Linked DNA regions of Saccharomyces cerevisiae S288C. The gene in region 3 interacts genetically with the main gene of each other region. Each region holds a gene or a part of one and is shown on either strand. Other genes may lie near its edges. The genes, in order: MFB1, PGM2 and BCS1.

What was found.
Region 1: mutations in BCS1 (region 3) and MFB1 together harm fitness more than expected from each alone (negative genetic interaction), as found in Saccharomyces cerevisiae (2 studies listed by BioGRID).
Region 2: mutations in BCS1 (region 3) and PGM2 together harm fitness more than expected from each alone (negative genetic interaction), as found in Saccharomyces cerevisiae (2 studies listed by BioGRID).

The regions. Positions count from the first base shown.
Region 1 is NC_001136.10:905,070-916,234, forward strand, and holds MFB1 (Mfb1p), read right to left. Parts: upstream 1,784-11,165; coding exon 386-1,783; downstream 1-385. Other genes in the region: GTB1 (Gtb1p), read left to right, coding at 2,261-4,369; YDR222W (uncharacterized protein), read left to right, coding at 4,985-6,232; CRF1 (Crf1p), read left to right, coding at 7,030-8,433; HTB1 (histone H2B), read right to left, coding at 9,248-9,643; HTA1 (histone H2A), read left to right, coding at 10,461-10,859.
Region 2 is NC_001145.3:470,894-482,058, forward strand, and holds PGM2 (phosphoglucomutase PGM2), read right to left. Parts: upstream 6,714-11,165; coding exon 5,004-6,713; downstream 1-5,003. Other genes in the region: LAF1 (Laf1p), read right to left, coding at 1-1,459; YMR103C (uncharacterized protein), read right to left, coding at 2,009-2,371; putative protein kinase YPK2, read right to left, coding at 2,527-4,560; YMR105W-A (uncharacterized protein), read left to right, coding at 7,171-7,365; ATP-dependent DNA helicase YKU80, read right to left, coding at 7,408-9,297; YMR106W-A (uncharacterized protein), read left to right, coding at 10,031-10,294. UniProt on the Saccharomyces cerevisiae protein: Major phosphoglucomutase isozyme that catalyzes the reversible isomerization of alpha-D-glucose 1-phosphate to alpha-D-glucose 6-phosphate. The mechanism proceeds via the intermediate compound alpha-D-glucose 1,6-bisphosphate.
Region 3 is NC_001136.10:1,217,241-1,228,405, forward strand, and holds BCS1 (bifunctional AAA family ATPase chaperone/translocase BCS1), read right to left. Parts: upstream 9,297-11,165; coding exon 7,926-9,296; downstream 1-7,925. Other genes in the region: XRS2 (Xrs2p), read right to left, coding at 1-340; DXO1 (Dxo1p), read right to left, coding at 542-1,870; CTS2 (putative chitinase), read left to right, coding at 2,173-3,708; VPS74 (Vps74p), read right to left, coding at 3,872-4,909; FRQ1 (frequenin), read left to right, coding at 5,519-6,091; PHO92 (mRNA-binding phosphate metabolism regulator), read right to left, coding at 6,234-7,154; WIP1 (Wip1p), read left to right, coding at 7,517-7,786; ARH1 (NADPH-adrenodoxin reductase), read left to right, coding at 9,582-11,063.

The DNA.
Region 1 (11,165 bases), 320 kb from region 3:
TTATGTACGTATAGTAGCTCTTTTTTTGTATCGATTTATAAAAATGCCTGTTCTTACTATTCTTATGGGAATGACACAAAATGTAGACGCATGTCTTTTTCAGGCGTCCTTAATATGAGCGATCAAATTTCGCATCAAAAAAACTTTATTGAAGTTAGAATATATGAAAAAAAGCCACGAAATTTCTAAAGGCAACCACAAATTGTCTTATTATTGATAGAATATAAAAAATAAGTCATTTATTTATATGTACATCTGTGCAAATGGTAGCGGCGCTCTTTAACTGTTTCTACATACCATGCATGCTTGTCTAAAACCATTTCGAAGTTCCGTTGCTAATTCAGAGAAAACTCTTCCAAGCAAAGTCGGTTTGAGGCGTTTTCTGTTATATATTAAAATCGGTATTAGCGTCAAGCCGTTTGATTACATGATCATTCGTATTCGACCCACTAGGGTTATCCAATTCGATTTTGCGATAGCATATCTTATTACCGTCTGTAACAACCGCCTTTAATTTGCTTCTTTGATGAGGTTTGGATAATTCTATTACTGGGGAAGTGTGACTTCTTTGAAATTTATTTTCATCATTTTTCTCTGTTATTCCTTTACAGTTCGAGCTATTTTCTTTTATAATTAATTGTTCATAATTTGCTATCTTTGTACTGTTGACTCTTTTAATTGCTAGAGGATTAGTTGTTTCACCGTTAAAATCGGGATAATGCCTTTCAATCTCCTCTAAATAACCTCTTGAGACGCTCCTTCTGCCAACTTTCGGTAGTATGTCAGAAGGGGGACTTATGATTTTCCTAAAATCTTCGTCATTAGCACTTAACGAACTGGATAATTTCAATCTTGGATTGTCCTTTTTCTTTGTTTTTAATGGTCTGCTATCTCTAAAAATTAACTTCTCAAAAAGTTCGGCTTTATCCTTGACTTTATTAGATTTTCTCAATCTTGTGATTGAGTCAGACGATTCAGTAGATGTAGGCGTCATCTCTTTATAATCAGGATCTCGTGACTTAGTGAAATCCATTGTAATATTATTCCAATCATCGTCCAGTAGTTTGGGCGATGAACTTGAAAATACAGAATTTGTTGAACTTCTAGAATAATTAGAAAATGTCGGAGAAGGGATAAAAGGTGGCTTTTTGACTAAGTCTTCTTCAAATGTTGTATTTTTTTCCAATCCGTGGAGAGAATGTATTTCTCCATTATTCTCCTCTATGTATGTATCATCAGAATCCGCTGAATGGGTCCTAAATGCTTTATCATTGAGTTCGATGAATTGATTCATTCCTTGTAGTATTGCAGTATGAGCGATTTGCTCCCTTGTTATTTCTGTAGGTTCGTTCAAATCCATATTTAAATCTTTCACAGAGCCCTTTTCTTTGCTCTCAACTTCATTTGTTCTATAACTTATTGTCTTTCTAGCCGGATCAATAACGCCTAGTTTATATTTCCGCTGAACATTTCTTAATGATGCGACCAGGGATATGTTGTGACTATTTAAGGTTTTCATTGCCTTTCTATTAAAATTCAAAACATCAAAGACATCAACAAGAACATTTTTTGTCCACCACATATTCCCGTTTGAGCCGATAACAGCATTTCTGTAAACAATGTTCTCATTCGCCAGCATCCTTAGCAAGGTGCAAGTTTTCCCTATGTTTTGTAAATCATTCATATCCAGGTGAGACAATATTCGGAACAATAGGTTTAATGGTAAGTTTGTCAGGGACCTTTCCTCCAGCGGCATCTGTACACTACAAGAAAATAATGTCATCTATGTGGTTGAAGGAACTATAACTAATTCTGGAACAAAAGTGAACTTTCCTTGTGCAGTTTGGCCAATTTGTTTTGATATTTTGTATGAGGATATTTAGCAAGTAGTAACAGAGACTCCTTGGTTATTTGAAAACTTTCCCTTTGTTTAAACTATAGCAAAGTATAACTTTCCTTTTCCTATTTTGTGAAAAAGTAAGTAAATATTGTTATCTCCTCCCAACTGGTTAAATACTGGGTAGGTGCACAAGCGTTTATAGTTTCTAAGAAGACAGCACCAGGAATAATGATAAACAGTTGTTTGGGTCAAAACAAAACGGGTATTGCCAATGCCTTTTAAAATACTTACCCGGCCATAAAATGAATAATAATAGTGTATGAAGACTGTGTTGGAAGATGTTATGGTAGAAGCAGAGGCTTCCGCACTGCATTTAAGAAGCATAAAGGCACTTCTGCTATTTCATTAAGAAGATTCGCTATGGTGAGCATGTTCTCATTATTTCTGCTATTAATTGAGCAATCGCCGCTTGTAGCGTCATTGCAACAAAGTCAACGGCATATAGTGGGTGTTCCCTGGGAAAAGCAGCACTTGTATGACTCGAATGAACCAGATTTGACTAAATGGCACTGTTTGAACCACGAAGATATCGTATTGGATATAAGCCAGATTAATGATGGGGTTTGTGATTGTCCTGATGGTTCAGATGAGCCCGGCAGCGCCGCCTGCGTGGAAGATATATTCAAAAGCGTTGCAGAGGGAGGTGGTAAAGTGAATAAGTATTTTTATTGTGATAACAAGGGGTTTATTCCAAGATATATACGAAAATCGGAAGTCGCAGATGGTATTTGTGACTGCTGTGACTGTTCTGACGAGCTACTTTCTGGATATGAGCTCTTTGATGCTGGATCTAATTGTTCTCAGTTAAAAAACGAATTTGACATTATGGCCTCTAAAGAGTTATCAAGTTACCGGGAAGGTAAAGAGGCCCTAGAAGAACTGGAAAGAAAATACGGTACAAAGGAAGAGGCTATCACCCGTGGTAATTGCTTAGAAGAAGATAAGGAAAAAGCTTCTGCCGAGATAAAAGTACTCTCCAACAGGCTCTCAGAAAATCGAGCCAAATTAGAGCAGTTGAGAGGCGAGTACTTTAACCAATTAAGCCATGATCCCATTTTGTATCAATTTGAACAATTAAACAGTACTCGTTTGGGATCGGACATCCTTACATCGTTCACTATGGTTTCAAGAGTAAGTAAAGGTTACCAGGACATATTCAAGATTTTAAGTGATTTATCAGAGGCCTATACTCCCTCGCTAAATGATAAAGTTGTCAATGATAATATTAAAAAATTCAGAAAAGTTAGAAGACGGGCTGAAAAGGCTAAAATTAATGCAGATAGCAAAATTGATGATGAGCAGGCAGATAATCTTTACTTGTACTTTACAGAAGAAGTACCTCAAATTTTTTTGAAAAGAGAATCTGAGAACACGTTGAGGTACGTCATAGGAAAATCCAATTTTGTTCAAGCGCTAGTGGAGGGTAAAATTAACTATACCAACGATATCTTGGAGTATATCAGAGAATTCCGTTTGATTATGGATGATATTTCTCAGAATTACAATGTTAACTTTCAAGATGCAGGGGTCAAAAGTGCTGTCGATTCGTATAAAAACTACCTAGGTGAATACGGCGAACTGGCTGAATTAGAACCAGCTCACCCGTCAGAGAGCCTTTTGAGATCGTTGAGCGAAGTAACATCATTTGTGAACGAGAATGCACCAAAGGTATTGCCACCAGACGCTGTTGAGTCAGAACAAGATACGAACAGCGATCATATCGGTACTTCTGGAGATTTGCGCAATAAACTCAAAGAGATTCTATCTAAGCTGAATATTTTTTCATCTAGAAAAGATTTGGTCTCATTAGAGAAGAGATTCCGCTCTTGTGAAAGTCAAGTCAGTCTCCTGGAGAATGAATTAAAGCAAAAAATGGACTATAAGAAATTATTAGATGAAACTGAAGATGAAGGAACTAATTCTACTGCAGGAAATCTGACTGAGCTTTTAGAACTAATGGGATCACAATCCTATTGTCTTGACGACATACTGGACAACTATGTGTACACTATATGCTTTCAACGTCCAATGACCGAAGGTGTCATATATCAAGCTGAGGATAAGGTTGACGGTAAAAAAGTTTTGATCGGTCGTTTTAAGACATCAGGTTTTAATGTTGACTTAAACATGGAAAAATACGCAGAACATTTAAAGGCCACATATGATGAGAAGAGTGATTTGATTTCAAACTTAGCAGCTATACAGGACGATGACGGTAACATGCAACATTACGTATTCGGGAACTTAAACGAACTGAATAATGGTCTGGTACTAGAATACGAAAATGGAGACCAGTGCTGGAATGGTCCGCGCAGATCGGCTACTGTATTTGTTCGGTGCAGCGACAAATTCAAGATTCGGAGTGTACATGAAGCGACTAAGTGCAACTACATCTTCGATGTCGTTGGTCCTCTAGGCTGCAACAAGACTTTCGAATACGAGCCCCCTAAGTTCAATTTAAGTGAATGACTGGAAAATGAGTAGTTAGGCTTTTTTAGTAAGTAAACAACTAGGAAGGCCGATGCTGTGCCGTGATACTCTTTTCCGCAACAAAAGCAATATTTCCCTCGGCCAAAACGCGAAAAGACGATAAATAAGTATATCGTTCCAAATACTGATAGTTCTGTACGACCTGTTGGAATAACGCGAAAAGAAGGGTACGGCGTAATCACCCCACACGGCTTGTATTTTTTTCGGAGAACTAAGTCATAGACGTAATGCTAATTTTTCCGTCTAGCCGATGTTTATGCGGCTTTTATTTTTTTTTTTTTTTTTTTCTCATCTTTGTTCTTCCGGTTTCCAAGATGTCTCACAGATTATTACAGTGAATTCCAAAATCATGTTTACTACTGGAATTTGTATGCATATGTTTTGGCAATCTTAAGCCTACGGATTTTAAATGTGATGGATATAACGAACAGTGTTTACTGGAGACTCACTTCTCTGGGCTTGAGTTTACGATGTATAGTCATATAAAAATGAAGAAATTTCTTGAGTGACAATTGCCGCCGTACTTCGTATTGTCTTTTCTTGACAGTGAGGGCGTATAAGATACATCGTACATACATAGAGACTCATTTAGTGATGCTTGAATCGAGCAGTGATAAGATAAAGTTTGCGCCTATTAAAGAGGTAGATTACAAAAAACCGGTAAGTAAGAGTAAGAACTATACTCTTATTAATGACATCCAACCATTGGAGTGGTATTGTCACAATGATAGTGAAACGGGCTACCAACACACCATAAGTAACAAGACAGATGGTGGTAGAGGTTTATTCAGAGTGATGAAAAAATCGATGGAGACCAGAGTCGAGACCCAAACGTTATATTTCACAGATTTGCATACAGGCTTGTGTGGATTTGTTCAATTACTGTATTCTACGGTTATGGGTGGTATCTATAAAGGCTTCCAATTGAATTTCAAGGTTTTTGGCTCAGAAAGTAATAATACTGACTACGACGTTTGGGAAAGTTTTAAATTGGATGACATAGCTGAATTTCAACCATTAAAGTTTGTCTCTAGAAATGTTATTTTTGAATTTTTGAGCAACAAAAATGAAAAATTAGGTTCCATTGGCCAGTTATCTATCAAATGTGATTTACCAACATGTAACAATACAATTCAAAATTTGAAAATCGATTTGTTGGTGGATTTGTTTCAAGGTTTTAAGATGAACCCCAACGGTTGCAATTATTATTTTGACAAACAAATCTCGATGAGTGACGAATTCGTTTCCTCAGACAAAATGATCAGACATGTTTTTGTGCCCAGAGGTAAATGTAATGGTAATATTTCCTACGATAAAAAACTCAATAGTGGGGACTTTCAAAATAAAAATATTTCATTAACTGATGTTCCTGTCGTTTATCTGGACGCTGTTCAAGGTCTTTTGCCGAATAAAGCAGCCAGTAAATGGAATTTCCTATGTTTTCAGAGCGAAAACTACTCTGTTTTAGCAATTGAATTCACTACTCCTCGAGATCATGATAACGTCACCGTAACAGTTTGGTCAATTACTGAAAAAAACAAACTGATATCTATTGGTTCTTCTGTGCAGAGCCCAAAACGTCATGTTAGGTTCCGTGCTACGAGTACAGATAAGGAAAGCGGCTGGGTATATCCAACCTCTATCAAGTTCCCCGGTGGATTTTCAGAACACGACTTGAGGCTGGTTAATCGATACGACGTTCTCGGTGAGTTACCAAGCATGGTCAGGTCGTTAGCTCAGAAAATTGTGAGCATCAAACCTTTCATTTATCAATACTGTCAACCTTCTAAATATAAGCACGAGAAAGGTATTTCTATCGTTGAGAGCACCTTCATTAGTTGAACAAAAGCGTGAACACTTCCACATGAAATTCGTTTTTTGTCCTTTTTTTTCTCTTCTTTTTCTCTCCTGTTTCTTCTACCAACTTTACCTAATAATTAATGTGTAATCGAATTTTTTTACATAATCACTACCTAATAACTAATTTATCATCACTTTTTTTTTTCATTTTGAGGCCACACTTTCCCCCATGGACTATTGCATCATTGCGCCATGCTTCTTACTTGCGTAAGCCATAGAACGGAAATATCATGTTCCCCTTGCCGCATGCATATTGAAAACATCACGGGAACGAGAAGAATGGCATTTTCGAAATAAAAAGAAATCATATTTCAAATGTTGGGGAGAGAAAGCAAAGGGGAATCAATAATCATTAAGGGAAGTCGATGAAAGTTTCCTTTTCCGAACTCTACCTCGCCTTATATAAAACCTTGGTCTAAACGGATAAACCGAGATGTAGTTGAGTTTGTGAATCCAGTTCTTGTCCTTCTTCCTCTTTCAAAAAGTGAAGCAATCAGTTGAGAGTGTAGCTATAGAGGTGTGTACTCTAGAAATCAGACTTTCATAGCAAGCAGACTTTTTTTTTGTTGAATCTTACTAGCGGATTTTTTAGAGTTTTCTTCTTCGGACTAATCTGTCAATGGTTCCAGTAAGATTAATGAGTCAAAAGCCCTCTATAATTGTATCGAGAAATTTCTTAAAAGAAGGAATATAATTATTGCGGTCACTAGAAAGTTATAAGAAGGTTACCATTTAACTGAACAGCAGCGGTATAGTACGGAATAAAAAAGTCTTTTAAAATGTTGCTTAGTGCGCCTGTTAACAGTACCGTGCGGCGCAAGCCACACAGTCCAAATAAAAAAAAGCCAAAAGAGACAGGTACAGCTGCTTCCTTTTCGTCGTCCTCTTCAACTGTCGTCCTTTCATCCAATAATGATGGCAGCTTTGATGCTCTTTGGGACCCCTCTATAAGTAAGGCCTCGGATTTTGAGAGTAGCTATATTAGTGCTAAACGATTAAAACCAGAAAGTAGTAATAGACAGAAAAAAAAAAATTCTTATAAATATTCTAGGGAGGAAAACACCAACGAGGTAGAGGAAAAGACGTCTCTTGGCAGCAGCTCTAAGACAGAAGCAGATAATATATTTAATGACCAGCTCACGTCAGCTGGCAATACTACATATGTCAGTAATAAGCGCGATGTAAACTTCGGGGCGAATTCGGCTGTAGTACTGCTCGGTTTGCCAACAAGTAAAAGTGAATCTCACCGACAATACCACAGTCCTTCGGCTTCAACAACTAATGAAGATGAAGAGGACATTGGTGTTGATATTTTAGTAGACAACCACATCGATAGTTGCGAAACAGTATCGATAAATAATAATAGAGGTATTACACACCAATATCCAGAAACGGAATCAGATGTCGACTTTGATGAGGCCGTGATATTGACACCAATGGATGGTACGGATAAGGGAGTGAAAAATCCAAGACCACTCGAAAAAAAATATAGTAGCAGTTGTTTTGAGGACCGTACGCCCCTTAACTTGGATGATGGTCATTTCAGTGAATGCAATCATTTTTCTACATTAGATGTGTCTAGCTTTTTTCATCTCAACGAGCATGTGCATAAAATCGACGAAGTAGAGCTCGATGGACCTGATCGCACCTTTAGTCTAGACAACGTCGCTATTAATACAAGGAAAAAGGATATTGATTGCCTCTATAATAGTTCAAGAGAAGACTTATCCAACCTCACATGTTCTTCGGAAGGCCCAAGGAATGATAGTTATGATAGTGATTACAACATTGATGAGGTCACTTATAGAGATGATGAATCAACAGATGAAGACGAGAGCTTACCAACCCCAGATCGAAAAAGGAAGAAAATTGGCCATAAAGCTTGCGAAATATTGGATTCTAAAAGAATTGGAATAAAAGTACCAAAGTTATACGTTTGGTCTTTAAGTGATAAACCGTTTAGTGTTATCGATGGGTTGTGCACAAAATCGCTGTACCCATTGAGTGATGACATAAATACTCCTGAAAGTTTGAGCTCATGCTCAAGCTCAGTAAGTTCACGGGAAAATCAAAAAGGAGATGCAACATTTGATAATGATGCTATGATAGCCGACCTTCTAAACATAGGCGGACTCGAAGTAGAGAAGGCATCCAATGGCCATATTGAGCTCATAGGCGAGTGATTATTTGATATTCCAGAAGAATCATTATCGTCTTTTAAAGGAAAATATGATCGTTTGCGAAAAAATAGAAGCACTTTACTACTTGAATTGTCATAGAATAGTAGGAAAACCTACTTAGTCAGCGAAGATCAACTTGGAATATCGTATGATGAGATGGAGAAAAATTTAGGGGCCGAAATGGATGGATCCACTTGAGAGAGGATCAAGGAATACTGAAGTGCAGCTGACGATCCAGTCAGCGACATCTGTCTTTTTTTAATTACTATTGCTGTGTACTTATAGAGTCGGTGGCATTTATTTTATTTTTAGTATTTTTTTATACGTGCGTATTCTATTGTTCATTTTTTTACCAATTTTTTTTTTATTTTTATATTTTGTTTCTTGCGTGGAGTTTTTACAGGAAGTTAATCACAACAGAGGGTTCAATCTCCAAGGCATAAAATAAACAAAAATTGTAATAGTTAGCAACTGCAATACGAATTAAAATTTGAGGAAAAATCTAGTATTGTTCACACGAGCCAATGCTCTGAAGTTTCGAAAGCTAATAAATATCATGTGGAAACTTTTCTGAGTCATTAATAAGCAACACTATTTATTCTTCTTATAATTAGTCTTACAAGTAAACTGCCTTGCCGCATAAGCGCATTCCCTCTATGAGACCATTTGTAATTTCGAGAACACAATTTTACAACCGAGTAAATATCTTATAATCATTAAAATTATTAAACTATTATACAATTTTTTTTACTTTACTTTAATTTTTATATACCCATATAAATAATAATATTAATTATAACCAAAGGAAGTGATTTCATTATGCTTGAGTAGAGGAAGAGTACTTGGTAACAGCTCTAGTACCTTCAGAGACAGCATGCTTAGCCAATTCACCTGGTAAGATCAATCTAACAGCGGTTTGAATTTCTCTAGCAGAGATAGTAGACTTCTTGTTATACGCAGCCAATTTAGAAGCTTCAGTAGCGATTCTTTCAAAGATATCGTTAACGAAAGAGTTCAAGATAGACATGGACTTTTGGGAAATACCAGTGTCAGGGTGAGTTTGCTTCAAAACTTTGTAAATGTAAGAAGAGTATGTTTCCTTTCTAGCCTTGCTTCTCTTCTTACCATCAGTGGAAGTGGAAGTCTTTTTAGCGGCTGGTTTCTTTTCAGCTGGGGCTTTGGAGGCTGGTTTCTTTTCGGCTTTAGCAGACATTGTATGTGTGTATGGTTTATTTGTGGTTTGACTTGTCTATATAGGATAAATTTAATATAACAATAATCGAAAATGCGGAAAGAGAAACGTCTTTAATAAATCTGACCATCTGAGATGATCAAATCATGTTGTTTATATACATCAAGAAAACAGAGATGCCCCTTTCTTACCAATCGTTACAAGATAACCAACCAAGGTAGTATTTGCCACTACTAAGGCCAATTCTCTTGATTTTAAATCCATCGTTCTCATTTTTTCGCGGAAGAAAGGGTGCAACGCGCGAAAAAGTGAGAACAGCCTTCCCTTTCGGGCGACATTGAGCGTCTAACCATAGTTAACGACCCAACCGCGTTTTCTTCAAATTTGAACTCGCCGAGCTCACAAATAATTCATTAGCGCTGTTCCAAAATTTTCGCCTCACTGTGCGAAGCTATTGGAATGGAGTGTATTTGGTGGCTCAAAAAAAGAGCACAATAGTTAACTCGTCGTTGTTGAAGAAACGCCCGTAGAGATATGTGGTTTCTCATGCTGTTATTTGTTATTGCCCACTTTGTTGATTTCAAAATCTTTTCTCACCCCCTTCCCCGTTCACGAAGCCAGCCAGTGGATCGTAAATACTAGCAATAAGTCTTGACCTAAAAAATATATAAATAAGACTCCTAATCAGCTTGTAGATTTTCTGGTCTTGTTGAACCATCATCTATTTACTTCCAATCTGTACTTCTCTTCTTGATACTACATCATCATACGGATTTGGTTATTTCTCAGTGAATAAACAACTTCAAAACAAACAAATTTCATACATATAAAATATAAAATGTCCGGTGGTAAAGGTGGTAAAGCTGGTTCAGCTGCTAAAGCTTCTCAATCTAGATCTGCTAAGGCTGGTTTGACATTCCCAGTCGGTAGAGTGCACAGATTGCTAAGAAGAGGTAACTACGCCCAAAGAATTGGTTCTGGTGCTCCAGTCTACTTGACTGCTGTCTTGGAATATTTGGCCGCTGAAATTTTAGAATTAGCTGGTAATGCTGCTAGGGATAACAAGAAGACCAGAATTATTCCAAGACATTTGCAATTGGCTATCAGAAATGATGACGAATTGAACAAGCTATTGGGTAACGTTACCATTGCCCAAGGTGGTGTTTTGCCAAACATCCATCAAAACTTGTTGCCAAAGAAGTCTGCCAAGGCTACCAAGGCTTCTCAAGAATTATAAGATCGGTTCTGGTATTTTAAAGAAGGCGGAAGGAACTAAACTGCTTCTCCATTGTAACTATATTAAGTGTCTATTAGACCTTTCTGTTTTTCCTTTTTATTTTTCTATATATAATTTATTGGGTATATAATTAACGGTAACATATGTCATGCATGATATAAATTTTTTGTTGTGTCTTCCTGTTTTCTCTGTTGCTCTGTTTAGGTTCATTGGGCACTGTTGCTTACTTGAACATGATTGAGTAGCAAACACATTCTGTGCTTTGTTCACTTTGATAGTGTGACGAAATTTTCACAACCAAAGGAA
Region 2 (11,165 bases), on a different chromosome or scaffold from region 3:
GACCATGCCAGATGGACAATTGTGCCTTGTGTTGGGAAGATCCGCTATGGAAGCCTTTCAATACCTCTAGAAGCTTCCTCTGTTCTAAGTCAAAAATTCTTATCCTCGAATCATTCGATGTAACTACTAAGCGGAAAGAATTGTCCAGTTGAGATCTAAAAGCTTGCAAACCCGTCACACGTGGACCATGACGAATTTTTGAGTCAGTTTCCGTGACCATGACGTGAGCGTTTTGTTCTTGTGTTTGTCTATCAGCTACGTGAAATGAAGAAACTGGAGTGAGACCTCTGGTCATCAGAATATGAACGTATCCATTAAATGTTCCTATTATAGTGTATTTTCCCTCCTCAGGGGATAATGTAACAGATGTTATTAAGTCTTGACAATCGTACTCAAAGCTAACTTCATCATCCAGTATAGACCATAACCTGCATTTGTGATCCAGACAGCCGCTAATGAAAAATCTATCGTCGGTGGGGTGAAATTCCACACAAGTGACAAAATCAGGATGTATGAATGTCTTAAGTGAATTTTTCCTATCGGGATGCCATAGTTTTACTGTCTTATCCATCGATGCTGACAAAATAAAATTATTTTTAGACCAATTTATATCCAGAACATCTTGCACGTGTTCTTTATACAGTCGCAAAGGCGTTGGGTGAAAGACAGGCGCATACAAATTCAATAATTTTTCCTTCTCTTCGTATTTCTCTGTAGCAGAATCCAAAAATTGTTTTTCTTTTGGATTGTTCAATGAACTGACCTGCTGTTTGATCCGCATCGACTTGGCTCGTGCCTCTTTATTTGATTCCGCACTCGAGTCCAATTCGGCTCTTTCAACTGGAGAGCCAATAACTTTCCATATTCTTATTTTACCATCTTTGCTACCAGTGGCCATAAATTTTCCATCGCGGCTAAACTTTGTACTCCATATAGCTTTAGAGGTTGGTTCAGATGATTTGGAAGTGGAGGTAACCGTTTCACCTTCGTAGGCCATTAGTTCTTGCGCGAGAAACAATCTTCTAAATTGTTTCAGGTTTTTCCGACGTTTCAACATTTTAATGTATTTTGGCTCTCTCAAATAGTTTTCAAATTGCTCTGTATCAATGGAATTGAAAGGGTAAAACTCATTGACCCTAAGATTCGAATTTAAAGTATTGCCTCTCTGTAAATGTTCCTTTAGTCTCATAAATGAATCAGTGGCGTTGCCGTTGTTACTATATTTTAATTTGTCATTTGTATTATTAGTTTTTGTCATTCTGAACTTCAATGGCTCGATATCTGCAGAATATTCAAGATTTAGTTTGCTTTTACTTTTACTTTCACCGGAACTGGACTCGCCGTCGAAGCTCTCTTGATGCGACCGACTCTCCTCTTCAGATCCAGTGGTATTCGAGGAATTGCTGAATTCAGAATGTACCTTGCTTATACTTGTTTTATCCTCCGCCATATTCGTCATATTTCTAATTCTCGTACTATATTATACGCCACTACCGTATACAATATGCCAAGAGCTCAGCAACTGCTTTCTATTCTTTTTCTTTGATTGTCTTTGTTCCTCTTTTCCCTCTTTCTTTTCCTCCTCTGTTTAACAAGTTGGAGAGAGTTGCAGTCTTGTTCCCTATACGGTCCAGCTGTGACTTGTACGAACGCGTATTGTATCCCAGGAAGAAATAATGATGTAACTCGCTTACGAAGCTTAAGAAAGGGCAAAAAAAATGTGTCCCCCCTAACTGCGAAAGTGAAAAAAAAAAAAATTAATGCGTTGAATTTACACAGTTCTATGTATAATTAACTGCTACGATAGAAACTGGACAGTAGTAAGAAAGATTGGACTAGGCATCACCCAGACTTTACTTTTTCGGCATACATATCTATTTATATATAGTTTAATACGTAAATACAAATATATATATACTGTAAATTTTAATCATTAAGCTTTTCTTTTTTTTTTGTTCACGCTTTCACCCTGTGAGGCGAATGAGGTTAGCTTTTTCCCTTTACGGGACTAGGTAAGGCTCCCCATGGCTGAGCCCGCGCAAGGAAATCCAGGATCATCCGCGGAAGAAATAAGCTGCTCCCGGCCCAGACTATGTAAGAAAAGTGGCAACAAACAGAAAAGCGAATCTTTCCTTTCAGGCAATGCAAGGGTCCTTTGCCGTTTGGCGAATTCCGGTAACCTCGACTTGCGCCCCGCGGGCTTCGCTTTGACATCCGCGGGTATAAGCGTCCGTCCTTCGGCCGACAACAGGTCGGTCTTTGATCTCAATTCCGTAGATGGAAGAATTCTGATAATGCTGTAAAAGAAATGAATAAGCAACATAAGTCGTGTGAGAGTTGCTAAAAGAAGAGCGCAGCCTCTGCGGACCATTCTATTTTCTGTAGTTCTTCTTGTCCCCGTTAACCACAATAGTAACGGAGTGCGTATCGCAATCTACTTGAACTATCCATTTTTGAAAATTGCAACCTCTTGCGGCTATAGCTATAAATTCCGTCCGGCTCGGCTCGGCTTGCTTCGGCTTGCTTCTAACTAATGCTTCTCCCCTGCGAAGGAGAATCACCCAACTGTTCGTCACCAATGTACGTCCACCCACCAAACTGCTTTTGAATACTTGCACTTAAGTACTCGTCCACTACACTATCGATCGGTTTTTCCTTAGTGAACTCTTGATCAAAATTTGCAGTATCTATTTCACTCTTTACAATTGGCTTGTAAGGCGGAATATAGCCCTTCAAAAGTAGCTTTTTCCATGAGATGTCTTTAAAGAAAGGATGGTTACGAATTTCATCTGTACCGTTAACGCCGAGTCTTCTGCTTGGGTCTCTGCTTAAGAGGCCAATTAATAGGTCTTTTGCCGCAGGGTCAAATCCATCAGGAAATAGTAGCGGTTGCTGCAGAATTTTCTTGTACATAACAGGAACGTTCTCATCATAGTATGGTGGCAGCCCTGTCATCATCTCATACAGTAAGATACCTAATGTCCACCAGTCAACTGTTTTAGTATAGCCCTGCCCCAACAAGATTTCTGGTGCCAAATATTCGGGAGTACCACAGAAAGTGTCTGTTTTGTCATTATCCTTCATGTTCAGCTTGCAAAGCCCAAAATCACACAGTGCAATATGTCCTTGGTAATCCAATAGAATGTTTTCAGGCTTTAGGTCACGATAAATGACGTCAAGTTTGTGTAATGAATCGAGAGCACATAATAGTTCTGCAATATAAAAACGGGAGCGTGCTAGACTGAATCGTCCCTCGTGTTGTAAATGGTAGAACAGTTCACCGCCATTAATGAAAGCTAATACTAGGTACAACTTCTCCGGAGATTGGAATGAGAACTTCAACGGAACAATAAAGGGGCAGTCAACTCTTGCTAGGACAGTCCTCTCCGCTAAAGTATGTGTCACTTCACATTTCGATACAATATATGCTTTTCTCAGAGCCTTCAAAGCGTAAATCTTTTGGGTATCTTTTTTCCTTACTTGCATCACTTTGCCGAACGAACCCTTCCCGATAACCTTCAATAGATCAAAGTCATCAATGGAGAGAGGCTTGTTCTTAGAAGGTTTGTAGTCCACCGTGATATTTAATTTACCATATCCCCTTTCTAAAGAAATCCAATGGTGATTGTATAGTCTTATTTGGGCTGCAGAATCGATTTTTAAATTCAAAGGTAAATGGAAGGAGTCCAAATGGATATCCTGATTTGTATTGATTTTTTTTAAAATCTCCTTCAGTACTTCGTCCTGCTCGCCAATCTCCTGTTGCCAGTTTTTAGAGGGTAAAAGTAGGGATGGAATCCTTGCAAAGACATCGATTTTTAAAAATCGTAATTTTCTTGTTACATCAAATGTCGATATTTTGTTAAACACTGGTTGCTCCATCGTTCCCATATCTGGACTAATAGTAGTAATAGAATTATCAAATTCAATTGTAAAATAAAGTAATGGGCTTGAATTTGTTGACCCAGGTAACAATATAGAGGAAGGAATGAATTTAGTGGCAAAAGCTCTATCTATCAAGCCTTCCCCTGCTGAATCTTGATCCACTCTCTTGTATCGTGGTAGCTGCCGCATTATGGCTGCAACTTCGGAAGCGTCATTGGATGATGAAGTAAGGATGCCGGAACTTAGTAGTTTTTGTAAAATAGTAGAGTTAGAGGTGATAGGGAAGGGAAGAGTAAAATCTTTACCAGAATACACCTTCACTGTCATTAGTCCGGATTCCGAACTCGGTCCCTGCGTCTCAGTAGACGACTGACTAGCTTTCCTTTCGGAAGCCTTAGAATTGTCATTTCCTATCCCCGATGGATTCTTGAAGGATGCATCATTACGTAATTTTGGAGAACTTAAGGAACTTGGGAGAGTCTCATTTGTATTGATCTTTCTTATATGGTGTTCGTGTTCATGATTATGATTCTTCGGGCTACCATCGTGATGTTTTTCTCCATGGTGGAAATGAAACAGGCCATTACCCCACGATTTTTCATTTTCATCTTCACTACTCCCATCATCTTCTTTGGACCTTCCTAACTTAAACTTGGATATTCGCCAGGAATGCATGTTACTATATGTATATTTGTATACGCGATAATTTGACCCAGTTGAACAATTCTGGTTTAGGAGCACTTTGGCTGAATTTTATCATTTTATTTATAAATCTAAGGATGACGGCCATTTTACAGATTTCTCGAGGGAAATATAATAAAAAACTCGGGGTAGGTAATCTGAATTCGGGGATACGCTAATTTGGGAAAAATTCGTGAATTAGATATAATTAGAAACAGCACTTATGAAGAAGATACTGCGATTAACCAAAATATTCTCCTCCTTATGAAAAAAAAAAAAAAAAGACTCAGAAACCTATGCAATCGTTTGCTAATATGTCGAAATATGGATCTATTAAGTATATAAAGTATGTGTTCAAAAAATTGAAATTTTCTTCTTTACCGTTAATATTCATTGAAAAAGGTGAAAATCATTAAGCCATTAGTAAATCATTCGTTTTAAGTACGAACCGTTGGTTCTTCAGTTCCTAAAACTTGTTTAAAGTTCAAGAACTTGATGACCGAGTTAATAATTGGCTTCAAGTATTCTTCAGCTGTCTTTTGGTATTGTGATTTATCATCGCAGTATTTTTCAATGTACAATCTAATGGTAGCACCTGAAGAACCTGTACCTGACAATCTTAGAACGAATCTTGCACCATTGGAAAGCTTGACATATAAACCTTGATGGTCAGAAACAGAACCGTCCAAATCTGTGTATGAAAAATCACCACAATCGGTGACCTTAAGAGACTCATCGGCTGGGAAGGCGGAATTAACAACACCCGATTTGGTAACATATGCTCTCAATTGATCGACAATCTTGTTAGCTTTTTCTGTTTCAACTTTTTCAAAATCATAACGAGTGAAGAAAGTACGGCCGTACTTTGCCCAGAATTCATTCTGTATCGTCTTAATAGAAGCTTCGTTCTCCGGATGATGCTTGTTGTAAATGGCCAAGATGTTCAACCACGCCATAATGGCCCAAACACCGTCCTTTTCCCTTACGTGGTTGGAACCAGTACCAAACGATTCTTCACCACAAATAGATAATTTTTTAGCGTCGAACAAAGCACAGAAAAATTTCCAGCCAGTTGGGACCTCATAACAGTTTAGACCATGGGCCTTGGCAACACGGTCTATGGCTCCTGAGGTAGGGAATGAACGGGCCAGACCATATATACCTTGCTTGGCGAAATATGGGATTTCAGCTGCATATTCGGCAATAATTGCGACGGAGTCACCTGGAGAAACGAAAGATGGGCCGTAACCGTAAATCATATTTCTATCACCATCACCATCGGATGCAGCACCAAACTCAATCTTTTCACGATCTACTCTTTTCACTAACGAACTGGCATAAGTTAAGTTTGGATCTGGATGCATACCACCAAAATCCGGAGAAGGATGCCAGTTTTGTAAAACCTCATCCGCCGGTAAACCAAATTCATCAACGAAAATAGCCTTACCGTATGGTCCAGTTACACCGTTCATACTGTCAAACAGTAACTTCCAATTCTTAGTAGAACGTTGATTATCGATGAATTTCTTGATTAAGTCGAAATCGAAGATTTCCTTCAAGAAGTTGACATAATCTTTTGTAATATCGATAATGTCAACGAGTAATGGACCGTATTTCTTGTTCTTGCCTATCGTACCCAAGTCTAGTTCTGGGAAGTCTTTGATAATCTTATAGCTGGTAAGCTTTTTGGAAATCTCCCAAATAGCATTTGTGACGGATTCAGGAGCAGGACCCCCATTGGATAAGTTATACTTAATACCCATGTCATTTTCTGGACCACCTGGATTATGTGAGGCGGTTAAGATAATACCACCAGTACATTTTTCCTCGTAGGTTCTCATGATGTGAGAAGCGGCTGGCGTAGACAGAAGACCATGCTGGCCAATAACTAACTTTTTAATACCGTTGGCAGCACCGATAGCGGCAATCTTATGAAGAATGACATCATTGTAGTAACGCCCATCACCACCGACAACAAGAGTGGCACCTTTAGAACCCTCTGGAATAGCTTCCATGATCGATTGAATGAAATTTTCTGTGTAGTTAGGTTCGTCTTTAAACACCTTTGTCTTCTTACGCAAACCAGAGGTACCAGGCTTTTGGTCTTCATATGGTTTGGTGGGAACCGTTTCAATTTGAAATGACATGTTATGTTAACTTTTGTTACTTTTTTTACTGAGAAAGATTGGTTGATCTTCTTCTTATTATCCTATTGTTCAAGCAACGCTGAAGAAAGACATGGAACACTATCTTCGAAAATGAAACAATATTAACGGTACCTTTTTATATTTCCCACATTGTTCGGGCGGCAGTCATCCAGATTCTGAAAGAATCAACTATTTCTTTTACACTTTTCAACCCCTGTTTGTTCCTGGAACTGCACATAACAAAAGTATAACGTCCCCTTTCACGTAAGTTCCCCACGAAAAAAGTAGTGCGCGACACCACCCCTTTTCGTGAGCTCCGCGCTTCTCTTCACCGAGCCTAAGTTGGGCCTCTCCCCCCTAGAAAGAACAAGTTGGCCCTGTTGTCCTTAGCTCGCAAGCTCAGGGGCAGCAGCGTGTGTTGAGATTAGAGAACCGCTCGACCTCAACGGATGATAGTATGATTTTAGTACATACAGGGAACGTCCTCTACCCACGTTTTATTGTTGTTGCATTTACTTTTGAACAGCGACAGGGGGGAAGGTGTAAAGGAGGAAAAGCAACCTGCATGGCTAGTGTTCAAAGTTACAAGGTAACAATGCAAATCAGTAGTATGACAATTATTTACCCGCTATTTATTTTTTTTTCTCTTTAACTGTGGTGACGAAAACATAACTCAAAGGATGTTAGACCTTTTTTAATTATTGCTATTGTTTGGACTTCCCCTACTGTGTTGTTCACCGCGCTTCAATAGCGTTTCTAGGTCCGGGATCTTTTCCCTCTCAAGCTCAGTTTTTAGTTCGGAGTCGAGTTTTAATTTGTCTACTTTCTTGATGCCGAGCACTTCAACCAATTTTGTGCTATCAAATTTCTTGTGCGTGTAAGGACTTATTTTGTTTTTCAATGAGTCAGGAAGCTCTGGGATTTCAAATTCCCTGGAATCATTGATCATCAGTTGGTGAATCCATTCCAGTAGCACCTGTTGTTGCCTGTAGACAAAAACCGTGGGTATTCTAAGAGGATCCTTTTTGTTTTCCTCTTGGTCTTTATTTAAAGAGGGAAGTGGGAGAGTGGTGTCTGTTGTTACTTCGCCTATGGGTTGATAGTAGTTGCCTAACGGAATCTCTGGTAGCTCATCTGTATCCATTGAATCTACAAATTGTTCCATAAGCTCATCGATTTGATGCCCGTCTGTTTCCTTTTTCAGCGGTACCCCGGATGTAGTTGTTCGATCCAGAAGTTTTGGAAAATCAGTTACCCTCTCGTCTTCCGCGAATGGTAATCTACACAAGGTAAGGCTCTTAACAAACTTCTTCTCGGAATTAATGTTACTGTGCTCAATTAGAACGGGACACAATGCACACATATTCACTTCACTGTCTTTCTTGCTCACATATCTTGCAACAGCAATTTTTCTATTTTCTAGCATAACATCCACTAGAGCACTGAAAGCCATTAAGTCAGATTGACAGCCAAGTCTTGTGTCGGCGGTAATGAAGGAGGATTCCGACGTCAAAAAGTACCTTGGAAGAGCTTCTCTATTCAAAAATCCTCTTAAATCCAAGCCTGGAAAAGATTCATATACAGTTTGATCGACTAGAACGGACGGTAGCACTACGTAGTCTGCACCATAACGGTATGCCTTCGTTACAGAGTCTTTGGAGATGGTCACGGGAATGTATGACGATCCAGACTGGTCATCTTCACTGACATTTTTCTTATTTCCTTCGTTGTGAATTTCATATTCGATTATGGATTTGACCCCCACATACCTTTCTTTCTTCTGGGAGTCTTCCACCTCAACAGCGGTTTTCCTATTTAAGCCTGAAACTGCTTTCGTAGCAGGAAAAGCCTCTACCTTGATACATAAGCAATTTTCATCTTGCATGCTGCCGCTAGGATTCGATGTTTGTGTTGATAATATATCTGCCCCTAACCTAAGCTCGCCTGAGAATACTCTTACTGGCTTAACGACAGATGTTGCTGGGGAAGTGATTTCAACAAGAAGTTCATTCATATTGTAGATTCTTGAATTCGGTATCGCTTCGACCAACTTTAACCAGTTCGATTTTTTCCTCTCCTCTTGAGTGTCTTTACCGCAATCAATCAAAATGATTCTTGTGCTTAATTCTTCCGTTAGCAGGTCTATTTCTTCATCAGTAATATCCAGATCATCTAAATTGTCTGTAAATACAACAATTTGTTTTAGAATTTTTCTTGCTTGAAATTGTTGTTTAATATCTAATGAGACGACCAACAGACATTGAATCATTGATTGTAAGCCTTCATTCGAACTATCATGACTGTGCTGATCACAATATTGTTTCAGGCGTTTTATAAACCCAATGGTGGCCGTCGTGGTAACAGGAGCCAAAAAGGATTGTATTTGGAACACATTTGGTATTTCCTGGGAATTCTCAGATACGGGACAATTAGCGAGATAACAGCTTATCCAATCTGTTTTTCTACTTTTTTTAGATTTGTTTAATAGAGTGTACTCTAGATATGCCATAGATTTGGAAACATTATTATTTTTCATCATTGATGGTGAAACATCCACGATGAAAGTTGTTGACTCACTTGACATTATTATGGTGTGAGATATATTATTTGTGCATATGTCCTGCACTCTCGTTAATTAGGTTTTCTTCTCTTGATGATGCCCTTTTTTTTTATTCATTTTTTTGCATGACAACAAATGCCCTGACGGACATGCGGTAATCTAGTTGAAAAAATAGTCAAATTGTGTCGACACTGTAAAAAGGTACTTCCGCTAATAGACTACAAACATTACTCCAAGACCAGAAACAGAAATACGTTACAATAGTGTTGTCGAATCCTGGCAATGGTAAATTGTTTTTAACGCCCTCCAACTGCTAATCTTTGGTTGACGGTACATTCATCTATTATAAGAACTAAATATATAGATTAACTAGAAAAGGCCAGATGTCTTAAGTGTATATATTTTGAATGAGAATTATGTATGCAGCATATTTACTTGAATCTTCAAAAAAAGAAGCCCTGTAGGGGGCTCGAACCCCTAACCTTATGATTAAGAGTCATACGCGCTACCGATTGCGCCAACAAGGCTACTTATTGTTATTTACCGTCAGCTTGTATTCTTATATGTTGAGCTGGTTTTTTATCTCAGCTTTTACTTTCTCAAAGTTAATAAAACTATTCTTCTAGAACTTTTTTTCTGGATTTCGGTTGCTGAACTAGTTCAACAAAAATATTTATTTTAAAATTAAACTGGTTCAAGGTCTCATAGTCGATCATTTCCAATCAATCAAAGCAACCCACAAATCCTAGGCTGAATCATGATATCGATGGAAGCAATCAACAATTTTATCAAGACCGCACCAAAGCACGACTATCTGACAGGCGGAGTTCATCATTCTGGTAATGTAGACGTGTTACAATTAAGCGGCAATAAAGAAGATGGTAGTTTAGTATGGAACCATACTTTTGTTGATGTAGACAACAATGTGGTAGCTAAGTTTGAAGACGCTCTCGAAAAACTTGAAAGTTTGCACCGGCGCTCATCCTCATCCACAGGCAATGAAGAACACGCTAACGTTTAACCGAGGGGAGTCACTTCATAATGATGTGAGAAATAAGTGAATATTGTAATAATTGTTGGGACTCCATTGTCAACAAAAGCTATAATGTAGGTATACAGTATATACTAGAAGTTCTCCTCGAGGATCTTGGAATCCACAAAAGGGAGTCGATAAATCTATATAATAAAAATTACTTTATCTTCTTTCGTTTTATACGTTGTCGTTTATTATCCTATTACGTTATCAATCTTCGCATTTCAGCTTTCATTAGATTTGATGACTGTTTCTCAAACTTTATGTCATTTTCTTACACCGCATATGATTATATACTAGAAACATGAATACTACTAAATAGATGATAAATGGAGTTTCATTGCAATGGTGATAATGATTGTGATTTTATTTGTTGGAATAACAATCAACTATCATCCATTCACTGGTATCAATATTACTGGTATATTATCTTATATGGTGTAGGAAGATGGCATAATATTGAGAAACGGCTATCGGATGTGGTAAAAGCTAAAATGCGAAGATTGATAATGTAACAGGATAGTGAACGACAACGCATAAAATGGAAAAAGAGGTAATATCGTTATTATGTAAAATTATTTGTGTCCTTTGTGGACTCTAAGATCCTTGGAAATTTAAATGACCGGAGAATGAGGTCGCTATAATAGTTTCTATACTCATGGAAAATGCAACCGATAAACCATTATAAATCTTCGCGGTTATCTGGCATTGTTATTAACCAAAAAAATGCCGGCCTATTACAAGCTACTGTTCAATAAATATTGTTGTAATGAAGACGGTCCAACTGTACAAATACAGCAAACTGTCATATATAAGGAGTCTTATGTGACAGCACTTGCGTTATTGTCAGCCGGAGTAT
Region 3 (11,165 bases):
ACTCTATACGAATAGGAGTTGTACCCAGTTCAATTATTGTGGACTTTAAAACGTCCGAGGCATTAATAGTAAATGTTTCGCCAACTTTCATGAATTTTTTATTTAATGATGTCAATTTACCCTTGTTAACTAAACACAGGCTACTGTGTTTCAGATCCGAACTATTATTGATTTCCCATTTGAATGTGATATGCTGTCTGGAAATACTTTTATCATTTTTAATTATCAGTGGGTTTTTACTTGATCTACCTATACTATAAGTTTTGAAGGCCTGAAGACAACATGATATAAAGCTAATAGAGCCATCTTCCAATGTATTCTGGTATCGTACTACCCACATAAATTTATAGTTATCACCTTCTCAGTATTGTTGCTCATCTATTACAAAATTCTGCTTATTTGGTTTACGCATTGCTTTTCATAGAAAAAAAGGGCTCCCCATATAAATTTAAGAAAAGTACTAATATTTAGCGTAGTTAACAACTTTACGAAAATGAAAATGAAATATTTCTCGGAAAAGTATTATATATTATACACGTCTCTACATTCCAAATAATTCTACGTTTCTTGGAGTAGTCTTAAGTTTAGTGATGACGATGGCGTTGTTAGTATCTATACCGATTTCAAATGATTCTGGTTTTGTACTGCTATAGTCAGAGATATTTGCCTCCACCAGCTTACAAATTGCTTCAATACAATAATGACACCATTCTACCGCAATTTGGGCATTATAGTTAAGTTCCTTTTTATTTGTAGGTAGACCTGGGTGATTGAATTTCTTACATAATAAGTCCCTTGAGTACCATTGAATGTCTAGTAATTGACCGCTATGACTGTCCCTCAAACCTATCATGATATCTGAGTTCGGTAATAAACCCGTCTGTACCCACGTTTTCAGAAGTTTTCTCCTATGATTGGAATTGTGCATTGATAATGGGGCAAAACACTTTAGTTCTGTGTTTGTCTCCGAAACAGGATTGAATGCATCCATTTCGCAGCGAATTAAAAGACCAATTTCTTCTGAAAGTTTACTCTCTACAAGAGAAAAAATAGGACATTTAGAGCCAGTTAAATCAGCGACTTTGGAATTTTCGGTTACCCAATTTTCAAATTCAAATCCTGAATAGCAAATTTTCTTCATATTTGGATCATTTGAATAAATGCCCTCTTTGGACATTTGAGAATCTTTTTTTACATTTCTGCAAAATGAAAGAAGGCCCGCCCCCATATAAGTTACAATTAGTGACGTTTGTCTATTTCGCCTGTTAAAGAGATGCATAGTCAAATCTACGATATGATGTCTTGTGGTTACAACAGTAAATTTCTTGCCGATCTTAAAATCCTTACCAGGATTATCTAGTATCCAGTTCTCAATGTATGAAAAACACGGTGATACACTATCTAATTCGGATATTGTCATGGGAACGAACTCATCAATATTAGCAAATAAGTCATGGCCTAAATACGGGACTTTCCGCTTTTTTGCCTCAAGAAGCGAGCTTTCATACAATTCAGCAATACTTTCTTTCAAATTTGGTATAAGGTCTTTGCGTAGGATTGTATAAGCCCGGCCATTGGTAAACAGAGCTACTTCTTTACTTTCATGAAATATATCTCTTGGTGGTTTCGTCAAAAAATTGTGCATACCAGTATGCAGAAAAGACGTATATGGGATACATATAAGTTTCGGACGTCTCTTTCTATAATTGTCTCTCTGTTGTGAAGGCTTCCTTGACGAAGATGAATCAGAAGTAGTTTTCTCTTTGCATAATTTACTTTGGTGTCCTCTCTCGAGATTGGGCACAGTAAGCAAATTTATACCTTCTAAATCTTTGGCCAATCCAAGAACAGCATCTTGTTCAGTTGACATAACTGAGTTTGGCTAGAAAGAAAACTTTGACATAAAATCATCGATACCTACAACTGGCGCTGTAATGCAACAATGCCATTATAAAAGTAAAACATGCTGCGAAAATTGCGGAAAAACTGGAAAAATCAATAGTGGGGTAATCCCAGTTAGTTTGACACAATAATTTGGTGATTTTGGTGGAATAATCATTATTTGTGAGGATACACCAACGAAAAGAACCTTTTGTGGTAGTATGGTCCAACAATTGTATTTGCAGGTTGGTACTAACAACCTCTATAAGTAGACGATACAAGAGTGATCATATGGTAGGACACTCAGCTCAGCACAGATCAAAAAGCAGCTTAGTGTCTCACCTACTAATACTACTTATCTTTATAACGATTATTATTGAAATGTGTTTATATAATAAAATTTTTAAGAACCAAAGGTCGGATGATATTAGAGACAACTTTAACAATGGCGGACATCGAGTTCCCAGTAATGTCCAAAATCATGGAACCCATATAAGAGACGAAGCCTTTATATCAGGGGTCTATTATTCCAATTGGTCCCCATACAAACCGAGGTTTCATTTCCCTCACGACATAAACTTGAAGCAAGTGTCTCACATTTACTATGCATTTTTCAAAATAAACTCTAGAACTGGTGGTATAGAAAACACGGATAGTTGGTCTGATCTAGAAATGAATTTGTATAAATCGCTGGCAATTAAAAATTCAGAACTAATTAAAGAAAGCTCGAACAATAGTGTCCAAAACATCCTACCCTTAGGTTGCATTGGTGAACTATTTTATTTGAAGAATACCTGTTCTGATAAGAAATTTAAAGTTATCATGTCAATTGGGGGCTGGTCTGATAGTGAAAATTTCAAAATCATAATTAAAGATGATAAACTCTTACAAAATTTTGTTGATTCGTCGGTGGAAACAATGTTCAGATTAGGATTTGATGGCATTGATCTAGACTGGGAGTTCCCTGGTAACAATGAATCAGAACCTCGCGGATATCTGAAACTGGTCAGAATGCTGCGATTAAAACTAAACAGCCTCGAATCCCAAATATTTGGGAAACGTACTGAAGATCATTTTCAATTATCTATTGCGGCACCTGCATTCAAGGATAAATTATTTTACTTGCCAATCACAGAAATTGATCAATATGTTGACTACTGGAATATGATGACGTACGATTATTATGGCTCGTGGTCAGAAACAACAGGATATCACAGCAATCTATTCAGTGAGACGGAATTGAATGGAAACTTTGCCATGCATTATATGATCGATAGATTTGGCGTCAATTCTAGAAAATTAGTACTGGGAATGGCCGCCTACGGAAGAAGTTTCCATATCAAAGATAACAAATTCGAACCATTCAATCAAAATACTGTATTAATTAACAAAATTTTCAAAGGAGTGGGCAAGCCCACTAAAGAAATAGATAAAGCTGATGGCAAGGAGGGCATCTGGCCTTACAAAAATTTACCAAAGATTGGTACAATAGAACAATACGATCCAAAATATGTTTCAGCATATTGCTTTGATGAAAAAAATTCAATATTTATCAGTTATGATAACACTAAATCAGTCAAAACTAAGGCTGAATATGTGACACATAACAATTTAGGCGGAGGCTTTTGGTGGGAGTCATGTGGTGAAGCTTATGCAAATGAGTCAAGGTCGTTGATAAACGCATTTAATGAAGGCTTGCACTTTAATGTGTCATCAAAACCATCAATATTTCAAGATGTGAGAGTTAAAAAATATTACTTGAATAAATATGGCGATGGCGGATTTTTATCTCCATATTTAAAGCATTTGGATTCAAGAAAGCAATGAATACGAATGTGGGCGTATATAATAACAAAAAGTTTGGTCTATTTATTATCCACTCCGTATATGTATATACATATATACAAATTTCGTTTATTAATGTTAGAGGCTTATAAAAAAAAGCTTGACTTTTCCTTATGTTTCAAAGAGAGGATTTTTGTTGTTATTTTCATAATAGCATATCCATTCTTGAAAAGACTTCAAATACACCAGCAATAACTTCCAATTGTAAATCATGACCAGGATTGTTTTCTATCTCTTCTTTAACTTCCTTGTTTAAATTAACGGAGACACCTAACTCAGTTTCCTTTTCTAAATCAAATGGGTATTGCGAAAATTGTGCCATTATTTCTTCAGCTCTACTAATTGCCTTATCTCTCTTCTCATATTCCAACGTAGTCAGGACATTCTCCAATACGTTTGCCCCATATGATCCACATATTAAAGCTAAAGTTCTAATGATTTTGAAAGATGTTGTCTCCGGAAAATATTCATTGTAACTTAATTCCATGTTCCTCGATACGAGTACAGAAAGTACTCTGCGCTTAATGGCTTCTTTGCAGCTGGCGTCTGCAATGGGGTGTGTCGCCATGTCAAACAAAAAGAAATTTTTCATTTCTGTTCTCAATACACCTTTATCGACCAAACCTTTTGCCAATCTTTCCCTTACTTGTTTCAATTGATAGTTGATCTTTAAAAGGTTCCATGTTTCACCACTTAAAAGATCAATCCAGTTAGAAATTGACAAAGGTTCGTCGTTTTTCATCAATTGCAAAGTTTCATCCAGTAAAACTTCCCCAGTTTTGGAACTGTCAATAACTTCAATCAACCTTTCGGAAAGATCGAACCTTTTCCTGGCGGAATCATCTAAGATTCTGATTTTACCTCTTAACGCTAATTCTATAATTATACAACCACGCAAAGCATATGAAATACTATCATTCCAAAACGACAAATATCCTTCTCTATCTCTTAAGCCCATCAATAAGACTTCTTCCATCAACGTTAACGTAGGGATATTGATGTTGTCTCTCAATTTCGATTCTTCTGGGTCATATGCAATCTTTTTGTTTGTTCCATTGTCATCATCCCCGTCAACAGCAATATTTGCGATTTTGTCTCCTTTGGTATTGTTAGCAGAAGAATGAATGGAGGAAGTATCTCCAGAATCCGCCCTATTGACTCTACGACGTTGTAAAGTAGACATGATTTTTGCTTTGTATTTTTTTAGATAGTTTTTGTTTGAATTCTTTTACGTTATCAGATCAAAAGTTGTAATGAAAATATAGCCAACAATGAAACTGCTAATTTAGCTCTATTTGTTAGCGTGGAAATTTGAAATTTATTTTTAATCTATAAATGCAGCAGCCCAAACCGAAACAAAAGAATAAGTGAGTTGAACAGAGTAAGCAACGGGCCGATATAGAACTGAAAAAGTCAACGTACCCAGAAAGCAATTAACTGCGACACAAATAGATGTCAATGTCCAAAAAGGATAGATAAACAAGATTACGATCCAAGGCAGGGATCTAATTGTTTTTAGGTAAATGCGTACCCATTAGCCTCTTTTTTTCAGTAGTAGTTGACTGCTCAGGAAGTAAAAAAATGAGCCAGAATTGATCATTAAAAACGAAAAAAGGGTAACTCTTCGGTGTATTTTTTATTATTATACCATAGAGTACTGAAATAATGTTTAATTTGTCAACGATTGAACTGATGAACTAGGGATATTACCTCCTGTTTTATAATTGTTGCTAGTTTAAGAATCGGCGAGAGTTATTTTGTGCTTGAAAACTGTTTTTGATTCAAAAAAAAAATGGGAGCCAAGACGTCAAAGCTTTCCAAAGATGACCTGACATGTTTGAAACAATCCACCTATTTTGATAGAAGAGAAATCCAGCAATGGCATAAAGGATTTTTGAGGGATTGCCCTAGTGGCCAACTAGCTAGGGAAGATTTTGTTAAGATATACAAACAGTTTTTTCCATTTGGTTCTCCTGAAGATTTTGCTAATCACCTTTTTACAGTTTTTGATAAAGACAACAATGGATTCATACATTTTGAAGAGTTTATCACAGTTTTGAGTACAACGTCCAGAGGAACTTTGGAGGAAAAACTGAGCTGGGCTTTCGAACTTTATGATTTGAACCATGATGGATATATTACATTTGATGAAATGCTAACCATTGTGGCGAGTGTTTATAAAATGATGGGGTCTATGGTTACACTTAATGAGGATGAGGCAACGCCCGAAATGAGGGTAAAGAAGATCTTCAAGTTGATGGATAAGAACGAAGATGGTTACATTACGCTGGACGAATTCAGAGAAGGTTCTAAAGTCGATCCCTCTATTATTGGTGCCTTAAACCTTTACGATGGCTTAATATGAAAACTTTGTTTTTGCTTCTTATGGATTGGATGTTATAACAGTAGAAGTAATTTTAGGATAATTTTAAATAAAAATAATATTAAAAATAATAATAATACTAATAATAAATGAGAATAAAATGTTGATAAATGAGGGATAAGGTCTATTCATACGTCTCATCCAAGAAGGAGAAAATATCAGAATCTTGAGTTTTAAATAGATTAATTATTGAAATTCCAATCGAATATGGAATTTCTTGAGTATCTCTGGAATGTGTTATCGGTTTCATTTCATTGGATGGTATCAAAAACCTTTTTAACGATCTGTTATTTATATCACGCACGATCACCCATCTTACTTTAAAGGCTTTGCCATATTTTTGTTCATCTTCCCATATACTGGTGTCCAAATCCATTTTCAAATCCGATACCATTTCTGCAACGCCACAGAATCTTCCTGATGTGTTGATTGAAAAAAATAAAAACACTTTGGCTCCCGAATTAAGCTTTTTATATGCCTCAGATAGCCTTTTGTTGCCGAAATGAGTAGACGACCAAATTCCGTTGTAAAACGACCTTTTGACATGCTTCAAAGACGAGGACTTTATTACAAAAAATCTTGAGTTTTCTGGAATATTTAACCAAGGGGGAATAATTGCAGCACTTTTTCTTTTATTAATTTCATTGAAAGTTTGTTCTTTAGTTGACTGCTGCAAATACCTTGGTTTGGATAAATATTCCCTGTAATAATTATTATTGCTATTATCAGATTGGTTGTAGTCTCTAGAAAAGGAGAAATGCCGATTTAAATTTGAGCTTGTCAATGGAATACTATTAATCTGGTGTGTATAGTTTTCATGAGTGATCTCTTCTTTATTTTCTTTCTTGTTAATATCATTTAAAGCTGTGACATCGTTCTTTAGCTTTGGGTTTGTTTGTACTTCAATATGAGTTCTCTCCAAGGAATGGATCAACCCATCTAGTTCTCTTAAAGAGTCTTCAATTGTCCTGTCATTTCTCTTATTTTCTTTCCATTCAGAGTTGAAGTAAAAATTTGGGGGACCTGTAGACCAGATTTGATTCATTTTTAGAGCACAACGCAATACTTACGTCACACCAGCCGTAGACGATATCTTCCTTTCTTAACGAAATAGTAACAGAGGACACAATCTGAAAACTTCTTTTGCGATTCATAACCAACAGAAAATTTTGGAGGAAAACAATGTAGCTGTATAAATATATATATATATATATGTATGTATACTTATTTATTTATATATATATCACAAAAGGCTACCAAAAAGATTAGCCGCCGAGGTACATCGTGAGGAGTGATATTCTGGGGAAACGGGTAGCGATTTCGTGTCTATTTTCGGTCACCAAGTCAACGTTACTTACTGTCGTATAACCAAAGTACAACAATAGCAACAGTTCCTAACATTCTTCCATGGATACGGAAGCATTGGCCAATTATTTGCTACGGCAGCTTAGTTTAGATGCGGAGGAGAATAAGCTAGAAGATCTTCTCCAACGGCAAAATGAAGATCAAGAGTCTAGTCAAGAATATAACAAGAAATTATTATTGGCATGTGGATTTCAGGCCATTTTAAGAAAAATTCTGCTGGATGCTAGAACAAGGGCAACTGCAGAAGGTTTGAGGGAAGTATATCCTTATCATATTGAAGCTGCAACGCAGGCTTTTCTGGATAGTCAATGAAGGGGTATTTTTAAGCCTCTTTATCATATACTCTTTTGTTCGTAATAGCAAATAACTCGGTCTTATTAACGAGAAAAAGTTAAAGCATCTTCTGAATTTTTATTATATACAAGTTATGTAGTAAGGCGCCACTTAGCACCTAGAAAATATGATTAGCGTTCCGTAAGCTGGAGACCATTTTCAACGCATCGTGTGGTGCATCTTTATTCATAACGAAAAGTCCTTGCAACTGGGCGGTACTTACGGTGATATCCAATTCTTTAACACTATTTACAAACTTTTTGCATATATCAGTCTCACCTGGGTAAAATTTCATAAACATTTTTTCTACCTGGTATGGAGTTGCGTTACCAACGAAGACTTTGTAGTCAATACGACCTGGTCTCATTATAGCCGCGTCTAGCTTTTCAGGATGATTGGTAGTCATGAATGTAATAGTTTCTTCAGAAGATGTGACGCCATCCAGGGCATTCAGTAAACCGCTAAATGTTACGCTAGAATGAAAACCTTGTTCACCAGTTTGACTTCTTTTGTTGAACGCCGCGTCAATATCTTCCAGTAATAGTATGCTCCTTTCTGGCATGTTATTCATTAAGTGGTTTAATCTGTCATCTGTTAAATTATTTTCGGAGAGGTTTAAAATACAAATGTTGTAGTCTAATTCGCCCGCTAAAGCCTGGATAAAGCTAGTCTTACCAGATCCGGGAGGGCCATAGAGTAAATATCCCCTGCGATATGGGATACCCCTGTCAGAGTACCATTTGCCGTTCTTCATAAAATCATAAACGTCATCGAGAATACCCTCTTTGATGCCACTGTCCAAAATGACGGAGGGCAGCATCCTTTTAGCTTTTGGTTGACCAAACTTTCTCCATTCAGGGCCGAAAGAAGTGTAAATAACAGTCTTGCCCTCAGTAGTCTTCAGGGCTATGTCTTTAGCCTCGTTCAAAATGTCATCGAACAAATGTTTGTCACGGTACAGTGTAGTTAAGGTTACGGTCTCAAATGGTGACCCGTTTGCGATATCTATCATTTTTGCGGACCTTTCTCTTTTAATCAGGATAAAAGCACCCTTATAACGAATCCAATGATTTCCCGGACCCGGAACCAGCGAAAATTTTGTACTAACTGATCCATTGTCATGTTGTATGTAGTTTGTCCTAACGGATAAGTGTCTAGATACCCTTTGAGGATGTTTGGCCATCCATGTTAGAAACCAGGCGTATGATTTGTCCTTCGACTGAATCTCTAAGTCGACAATCATTTGTCGGTATAGGACCCTGCTGGCTTTTATTATACCGGATCTAGCTACAGCTAAACCTGTACCAAGGATCATAAGACCACCGCCGGCGGCAAAATAGGGATTGTTTGACATAGCATCGCCAACTAGTTTTGAAAGTTTTTCCCGGACTGAGTCATTACCAGTTTCATTTGTTGGCGGAGTAATTACACCACTCAGATTTGGAGTAGCCTGTTTATCATATTGTATGTCAATCGGCTTATCCGACATGGTAGATTGAGGGCACACTTCATTTTTTTTCAAATCGTCCCTTGGTACGTCTACTGCGTTGCAAATATAGAAGAGTGGAAATCTTTACTTATACTATTTACATCGATTTTTCGGCACTCTTTAAGGGTAACTCAATCGAGATATAATTCGAAGAGCAGTAAACTATAGCTCGAACGTAACAGAAAGTTTTTTGCTTGCTATAGTTCTTGGCCACAACGCCTCATTCATTCATTTAGAAAGTTTCTCACTCTTTCTTCTTCCTTTTTTAGCTCATTACTTGTGAAAATGAGCTTTGTTCAAATAAGGCACATTTCTTCACAAATAAACCGTAAGACTGTATCCATTGTTGGATCGGGGCCTTCCGGCTTTTATACAGCGTACCATTTACTCAAGAAGTCACCGATTCCATTAAATGTTACTATATGGGAAAAGTTACCTGTTCCTTTTGGTTTAAGTAGATATGGTGTGGCACCTGATCATCCAGAAGTCAAAAATTGTGAAGAAACGTTTACCACATGTGCAGAAGAGTTTTCTTCCCCTACAAACCAAAAGCATAAATTTTCCTTTGTTGGTGGTATAACCATTGGAAAAGAAATATTGTTGAAGGAATTGCTGGATAATCAAGATGCTGTTATTTTAAGTTATGGTTGTACAGGGGACAGAAAGCTGAATATCCCTGGCGAACTCGGAACAAAAGGGGTGTTTAGCAGTAGAGAATTTGTCAATTGGTACAATGGTCATCCTGATTTCGCAAAGGATAAGCGATTTACCGATTTTGACTGGAGCAAAGTTTCGAAAGTTGGTATTATAGGAAACGGTAACGTTGCTCTTGATATTACGCGTGTACTTATTTCTAATCAAATTGATGAAATATGGGAAAATACGGACATCTCATCTCTTGCACTAAATTTGCTAAGAAGGGCACCTGTAAAGGACGTTAAGCTAATTGCACGAAGGGATTTCGTTCATTCCAAATTCACCAACAAAGAATTAAGAGAACTATGGGAGTTAGAAAAGTATGGCATACGTGGCCGTATTGATCCTAAATTTTTCCAGAAAGAAATGTTTGACCCATCTAAGTACGATCGTGCATTCAATAGACGAGTAGAGATGTGTAGTGAGTATCTCAAGCCATTTAATGAACGTTCGAAGAAAAACTATAAAAAGGCTCCTCCTCCAAGCAGCGGATATGACAAATTCTGGGAGTTAGATTATTTGAAGACTCCCTTGAAAATTAATAGAGACGATTTTGGTGCAATCAACTCTTTGAGTTTATGTAACAATCGATTAAATGAAGATAACAGTTTGCAACCCTTGAAGGACGTCAATAATATTATGACATATAAAGTGGATTTGCTGATTACTTCATTGGGATATGCAGGCGTTCCCATGCCTGAATTCTCTAAGTTGTCTATTGGATTTGACAAAGATCATATAGCTAATAAACAGGGTCGTGTTTTAACTTCCAGCGGAGAAATATTCCCACATTTATATGCATCTGGTTGGATCCGTAAGGGCAGCCAGGGCGTTATTGCCTCGACAATGCAAGATGCTTTTGAAGTTGGAGACAGAGTAATACAAGACTTGGTGGTCAGCGGAGCGCTATCCTTAGAGAATTCTATCGACCTCTCTAATATCAAGCACACCACATGGAAGGATTGGGAAAGAATCAACAAGAAGGAATTGCTTCGGGGCAAAAAGGAACACAAAACTCGGTCAAAGTTTTTAACTTTTGAAGAGTTGTGGAACGGTGTAGAAGGCATATAAAATAGATCGTTAATATATTTCTAACATCTTCTTGTAAATGTAAATATTTTAAAAGGGTTGATCTTATTACGGAGAGAACCAATCATATCGAAGGATTTCTCA